Linked DNA regions of Lepisosteus oculatus. The protein of the gene in region 2 interacts with the protein of the main gene of each other region in a pairwise test. Links are inferred from orthologs where the notes say so. Each region holds a gene or a part of one and is shown on either strand. Other genes may lie near its edges.

What was found. The genes of interacting proteins can lie anywhere in the genome.
Region 1: the proteins of max (region 2) and unc45a interact in binary tests that used the Homo sapiens proteins (3 or more experiments, as listed by UniProt). The two-hybrid records come from large-scale screens. The link is inferred for Lepisosteus oculatus from reciprocal best matches to the Homo sapiens genes MAX and UNC45A.

The regions. Positions count from the first base shown.
Region 1 is NC_090700.1:60,915,836-60,919,589, forward strand, and holds the start of unc45a (protein unc-45 homolog A), read left to right. Parts: upstream 1-1,264; 5' UTR 1,265-1,456; coding exon 1,457-1,480; intron 1,481-2,430; coding exon 2,431-2,623; intron 2,624-2,796; coding exon 2,797-2,972; intron 2,973-3,328; coding exon 3,329-3,418; intron 3,419-3,754.
Region 2 is NC_090703.1:15,579,301-15,583,054, reverse strand, and holds the start of max (protein max), read left to right. Parts: upstream 1-1,052; 5' UTR 1,053-1,182; coding exon 1,183-1,218; intron 1,219-1,488; coding exon 1,489-1,515; intron 1,516-3,754. UniProt on the Homo sapiens protein: Transcription regulator. Forms a sequence-specific DNA-binding protein complex with MYC or MAD which recognizes the core sequence 5'-CAC[GA]TG-3'. The MYC:MAX complex is a transcriptional activator, whereas the MAD:MAX complex is a repressor.

The sequences.
Region 1 (3,754 bases), on a different chromosome or scaffold from region 2:
TTCTCAACATCCTGAAGCACATATGGCGCCGTGGGAGTACATACGACGGTTTCAGCTTGATGAAATAGAGGCATCAGCACCACACCAGCAGAGCATGGGTCTGAACTGAGCAATTTTATGCAAGTGGAAGAAAGATAAGCTTTGCGACACTCCTTATGTGCACTTCAATCAACAACGCTAAAATTCCTGAGGAATAACAACAGCCGAGAATTAAGTGTATTGTAATGTTTAACTCTTTTAGCCAGAATAGATTTGGCTCAACCCGCTTGGCAGAGGGCCAGGCTCCTGGCCACAGGACGAGGAGGTCGTGCCCCCTGCAGAACTTGGGGGGGGGAGGAGCTCACCTATATTATAGTAATATGATAATATCATGCTTGGGTGATGAAATGACATCAGGATTGATTATGAATTACTGGTAGCTGAGGCTGATTGAACTTGGCTGTCTTCATCTCTCCTAACATTTCGTTACAAACTCCATTAGTGAAGTTCCCAGTTCTGAATATTGAGTAGTGGGACAACATCAGACATCAGTGGGACAACATCAGTGGGACAACATCAGATTTAAAACATCTTCACTAATTGGCTCCAAATATGAGCCAAACCAAGGAAGAGTGGGAAAAAGATGAATGTTACTGTGATGCGGAAGAGTGCTGTATCAAAAGCTTCACTTTCATCTAGGATTAAAAGACACCCAAATTCGTTACATATTTTAACAAGGGCTGTTTCTGGGCTACATCTCAGCCAAATGTCTGACTGAAAAGGTTCGAAGAGTTTATTAATCGAGATTATAATCGAGCTTTCATCATCTGTCCCAAACGTTTTCGTGACAAAAGGGGCTTGATCCAATTTAGGATTTAAAGGACTTAAAATGGTTTAACAAGGTGTAAACTCTCAGACAAACCGGATTCTTAACACACTGAGGAATTTTACAAAGAAAGATACTGTAAGTGAACTTTAAATATAATTAAATATAGATATTTATTTACTGCTTCAACACAATTTGCATGACACTGCATAAAATCTGAAATATCCCATGCATAATACAGTTTTGCAAATGTTGGCTCTCTAGAGTGCAACTTCCAGAAAGGTAATTCAGTAAGCTTTTTTTTTCATGAAAAGAATGTACTGGAACCAGACTAGTAGAACAAAATGGTTCAGATAAACCCACTGTCCGACAGCATCTCTTTCTCGCTGCCTTCTATGGCGATGGAACGTGCAAGTAGGCGGGGTTTCGTTAGAAACGTCATCACGCCGCTCCCAGAGAACAGGAAGGAAGAGAGGTTATAGCTGTCTTGTGCTCGCTGGTTATATAGCACATAAACTGTAGAGCTCGCTATGAAATGAGGAAATAAAATCGGTTATAGAGTAGTAGAACTTTGGAGACGCCGCGTGGAGCTGTCCGAAACTCGGCGAAGGCAGCGAGATATCTTGGCAATAAACTGTGCGATCATAGAGAATGAGTGTAAACGGCAAAGACAAGGTACAACCTTATCTCGCCTGCTAGCTTCGTAAATCATTCATTATGTTTGCCGTAACTGTAGGTTTGGTTTTTACCGGTTTACACAAAAATCAGTAGACTCCGCTGTTCCGTTAGGTAAACACCCACCATGGAAACATTGTGCAGAAGCAGTCGTGTAAAATACCTCAGCTGTGTAGAACGCCTAATCTGGGTTCACTTGTTACAGACTTCGCACGTATTCAAGTGACGCCGTGACTCTAACCAAATCAATCTGTTAATTTGCCTGAGCCAACATCTATAGCTTTTATTTTGATTATCATATTTAATGGCTTTAATAACTAATGGCCATTGCCATTACTTGATTCGGTAGTTTGGTATTGGTGTCAAATATAATCCCTTAACAGAAATTGCGCTCTGGATTCCAGAGCGGCCAGTTACAGCTCCAAATCCCAGTTATACTGCTGTTGAGCCGTTGAGCAACGTATGTATCTCGAAGTGTACTGCTAACTTGCCCAGCTGCACAAATGAGTACTCTTCTGGATGTCATTTCAAATGAGATTTTGCTCCTAGTTTGTCCTTATAGCATTTGAAGGAAATGTGATCTCTTCCTCTGTTTTTAAGGGGTGGTTAATGGCTTTTTAATATATTCTTAAAGAAGTAACAGTAGAGGCCAATGAGTGGCACAGGGGAGTTTGTATGGGCTCCAAATAATCACACAGGTTTTCTTTGATTGTCCTGATTTTCTCCCTCTTCCCAAAGACGGTTCGGTTGATTGCATGTGCTGTATCTCCCAATTCCAGGAGGAGAACGAGCAGCGTTCCTTTCATTCATCCTGCTTGGAGTAGCTCTGCTGTAGTGCCAACCCCAGCATGGTGGGGTTAAGGATCTATAGGTCGTTGATGAAGCCCAGCCCTGTCTAGTCTTGTGCTGTAGGTGTCCTTTAGCAGTGCTGTCTGCTTTGTGTGTCCCAGGACCCTGCTGCCCTGCGGGAGGATGGGAACAGCCTGTTCAAGAATGGAGATTACCAGGGAGCCCTGTCCTGCTACACCAGGGCCCTTAGACTAAGTGACAGCCAGGCAGAGAGTGCTGTCCTGCACCGCAACCGGGCAGCCTGCTACCTCAAGCTGGAGGACTATTCCAAGGCAGAGGCCGATGCTACAAAAGGTACAACTTCTAAAATGAAGACTAAGCCTTTCACACGGCGCTTCTGATGTGACCAGGCCTGAAAAGCAATCATTTCTGAGCCAGCCTAGAGTCTGCGAGAGCAAATTAGTCTGTACTGACGGGTAAGCTCTGTTCTTCACTTGCTGCCTGCTTGGTCTTTTCCCTCTGGCCAGCGCTGGACGCCGACCCCGGGGATGTGAAAGCCCGGTTCCGCCGCTCACAGGCGCTGCAGAAGCTGGGGCGTTTGGACCAGGCCTTCTTGGATGTCCAGAGGTGCGCACAGATGGAGCCCAAGAACAAGGCCTTCCAGGAGTCACTGCGGCAGTTAGGAGCTCAGATCCAGCAGAAGGTATCGTGCATGGGGGTTTATCAGCCATTATGGTGCATACAAAATGTTTACACTTTATGAATTAAATTGACAAAAAAACGGGGCTGACTAATAGCTAGAGAATTAACTAGTCAAAAAACTTATAGCAGTCATCCACCAGGTGGGGCTGCACACTGGTGGTGGTGGTGGAGGGGATCCCCATTATCTGTAAAGCACTTTGAGTGGAGTGTCCAGAAAAGCACTATATAAGTGTAAGCAATTCTTATTATTACTACTCAAATAAACCCTTTAATTCACATTGTATTCCCAAATGTAAATGCTGTTGAAGGGGTATTAAGACTGAAGCTGGTATCTCTTTGCTCCTGTCTTGCTCACAGGCTCTACAGCTCTCCTCCACAGATGCTCGCGTACAGCAGATGTTCTCTCTCCTCTTGGACTCCTCCTCACAGCCTTCCGATAGGCAGAAGGTGTGGTATTGGGGGAGGTCAGAGATCACTGGGTAGAGAAATGGGACAGGTTTTTTGTGGCCTTTGCTGTTCATGTTGAAACAAAGACATCCTGATCTATTCATGAATGCATAACCTGTTTGTAATGTATAATGAAATGTTGAAATCAGTAAATGTATACTCTTAGATTCTGCCTGTTTTGGATAAATGCCTTTCTTTCACCAGAGCTATATCATACAAAGCTGCAAAGCGTCAGTTAAAAAAGGCAGCTCTTTAGTTTTATATCTTCGAAGATATATCATAAAGAGTAGTGTGGATTGAGTTGATTGAGAGCTTCAGCGGTTCAGACTGGAGGAG
Region 2 (3,754 bases):
CGTGGGCAGGTGGGTTTTCTACTTCTAATTAATAATAATAATAATTAATAATAATAATTGCTTACACTTATATAGCGCTTTTCTGGACACTCCACTCAAAGCGCTTTACAGGTAATGGGGACTCCCCTCCACCACCACCAATGTGCAGCATCCACCTGGATGATGCGACGGCAGCCATAGTGCGCCAGAACGCTCACCACACATCAGCTATCAGTGGGGAGGAGAGCAGAGTAATGTAGCCAATTCATAGAGGGGGATTATTAGGAGGCCATGATGGGGTAAAGGCCAGCATAATTGATCTCATGCCCTTCTTTATATATTGTCATTTCCTTTCACTTTATTATGGAGTGCATCTGATGCCATTTTATGTCCAGTGTATTCTCTGGTGCCAAGAGATTTCAATACTCCTCTTACCCTTTGTTTTATTCTGTCACTTTTTCAAGATAGAAATTTCTGTATTTAATTCCAACAAGTCATGTTCCCACCTACAATGAAAATCTAACTTATATGTAATTTTAGAAATTATAATTTTAAATAATATAATTTATTTCACAGGCATATTTAGATGCCCATCTACAATCATGTGAATTATAACCCACAAAAAAATATATATATATATTTGGGACTTCCCCAAATATGACTTACACATAGTATCAGGTAAGCTGTCTTGAATGGATGACAGCAATAGCACTATAATTATCAACAAAAAGTATTATGCAACACGTTACTAATGGACGACCGCCATCACCCACAGCATTTTGACAAGCAAGCTAGAACTTGGCTTGCAAATGGCCATCCACGTGTCTCTATCATGGCCCCTCGATTTCATTTTTTTGAGTAAACTACACATCCCACTCGCCTTCTGCAAAGGTAAGTCCATGTTTTACGTCCCTTGGAAGCGCCCATTTGCGGGGAGTATGGGTCATGTAGTCCAGTAAGTAATGTTTGTGTATTACGGAAAGAGGCTTTGTTATTCGAAAAACACATTTCCCAGCATTCCAAGCGCTGTCGCACATGCGTGTCACGGTGTGTAAATGTCCGTGTGTAGGCGAGTCACGTGTGGAGAGTCCGTTGATCTCGTTTCGTCCCTGCAGTGAGATTCGCTTGTTTGTTCGTTTCGGTTTGTACTTGATTTTATTTTTTTTAGCTTTTTCTTAATTAGATCAAATATTTTATCGAAGAATGAGCGACAACGATGACATCGAGGTCGATAGTGACGTAAGTGGAAGATAGATATTTCGAAGAATATTAAATATTTAGAATTAAAACGCCTTGTGTTTTTCTGAATTTTGAGCTGCTGTCGGACTGCTGGTTGGTAGAGTTCTAGGAAGAGACTAGCAGTACTGAATGAGACGTTCCGCGGTTTCGGCTTTAAAGCATATCGAAAAAGGAGTCTATTTTTACATACAAGCAACATATGTAGGAGTTAAAGCTATCACTTAACTCACAATTATACAATTGTACTTTTCTGTTTTGTTTTTTTTACAGGAAGAATCACCGAGATTTCACTCTGTGGTGCGTAATATACGGAACGTTTTATCACGCTTAGACTTTTTAAAATGAAAATTGCTACTGCATTGACATTTCAGTATAATTTCCGGGTGGGTAAGAGGAAAAGAGGAGTTGGCTGTAGAGACAGCGATCCTGAATTGCAGGGGACACCTACATCGGTGACGGAAGAGCAGCCTGATTAGAGAACCATCCTTGTTGTACAGCTACTCCTACTAGGCCACCGCACAAGCCTATGAAAAAATAAAACGTAGAAGAGTTTGAATCAACGACGTAGAAATAAAAACTCACGTTGTTTTGCTTAACGCCCGTTTTGCTTAACTCCAATTTACAGTGAAATATTTTTCTACGCATCAAAGGGTAATCCCCAACCCACAAGACACAGCGCGTACCATTTTTAGCCTAGACGAAAATTGCCTGTTTCTTCACCGTTTTTGGCTCAAGATCGCTTTAAACATCAGAAGGAAAAAGGTCAGATACACAGATTGAACTGGATCTGCCTGTGCTTCGATGAGTAGGAACCGACCATAACATTTCGTTTCGTGAAGATCAGATTAGGCTGTTTTCAAAACCCGAAAAGCACATCAGGCTACTGTTCAGCAGCTACGTTTCCTGCTTTAATGGAATAGTTAAGCTGCACATACCGAAGAGATCGACAACGTATAATTAAATATTTTCTTAGGGAATACCTTTTTTTCTGCTTGAATTTAAATACTCGGTTTAGCAATCCATTATCTCGGTGCACCGGTAGATACTGCTTTAAATAGTGCTTAATTGGAATGCAGGTTACGATCTTTGGAGGGGATTAATAGAGGATATTTAACCTTCAGCAAAAAAAATATTAAAGATGATAGGCATAAAAAAACGAAGTGGCCAGCAGAAATACAAGGTGTTCAGGGCAAGTTAAAGGTGCTTCAGTTGCGTTGGTGTTCAACACCGTTTCACATTGACGGCGCAATAAACGATCGGTTGCTGTTGTATTATTTGACGTGTCTGTGCAGTCACTTTGATGTTTAAATCGGTGTACTACGATTTGTCTTTAAAAGACCGGGGATTACATTGCAGTCTGTTCGTGCCATTTTGTGTACCTACAGTTTACATTTGCACGTTCCCTCTTCCATTCTGTCAGTGCATTTTATTTACAAGTGTTTTTTAAATGGCATAAAACGCATGCGTAATACACTTAATAGGAAAAGAGAGGATATGGTTAGCACTAACTCTGTAAATTCAAGAACACAATTACACACTGAAAACGATAGTAAAAATACACATAACAAGTTGCTCTTCCGGTCTCTGCTTATGTTTTTTGTGAAACGATAAAAAAATCTTAAATTCAGAATTAGTGTTATTATACATTTTAAAATACTATATAAAGCCTGCTTTGCTTATTATGCCTTAGATTGTGTCACATTCTAAGGTATATTTTAGAATAGAATAAGGCTACAATTTGATTTTCTAAATGACATTAAAAAAACTTATTATTCCATTGTTGTGATGTAGTCTGCTTTACCATTTCTCTCAAGGAAATGTGATTTGGTATTTGTTCACCTATAAACCAAATAGTTTAAAACTTATGCACAGAGTGCTCATTTAGGGATTCACTCTCAAGTTGATTGAGGGTCAGCATGTGAAAATAAAAGCATTGGAGAGTCCTCATTCACGTACCCCTTGAGTTGTCCTGTTAAATAGACATTCTTCTGATTCTGATTCTTTTATTAAGAGGTTTTTAAAGGAAATCTGAATTACTATTGGGTTCAACAAAGAAATTAATTAAATGCAAGCAGTAAGTGCAATTATATAGATTCATGAAAGCACTGTAGTTCTGTAATAGGTACTTAAGTTGTTAAAGGATGATTGTATTTGGTAGTATAGTAACTAAATGTGGAAGGTAGCTGCTCAAAAAAGGCAGATTAGGAGAAAAGGGCCAAAAATGAATGAGTTAAACTAAGAAATGTGACAGAAAAGTTGTGGAATTGAGGCACCTAACCTAATATGGAACTTCAGGAACTAGAATGGTAGAATATAGTAAAAAAAAAATTGTTTTACTCTAGCCGATGGAATTGTTAGGAGACAGCTTTGTCTAGCAACCAGACCCAAGTTCAGAACAGTTACCTGACTCGTAAGGATACAGAAGTTCATAACGTGATTTTGTTTAAGTATATTTTGAAGACCTTGATATTAAGCATTAAATATGAACATAACGATGGAATAAAGTTAGTATGCCCTTCAAACGCCCCTTCTCAAG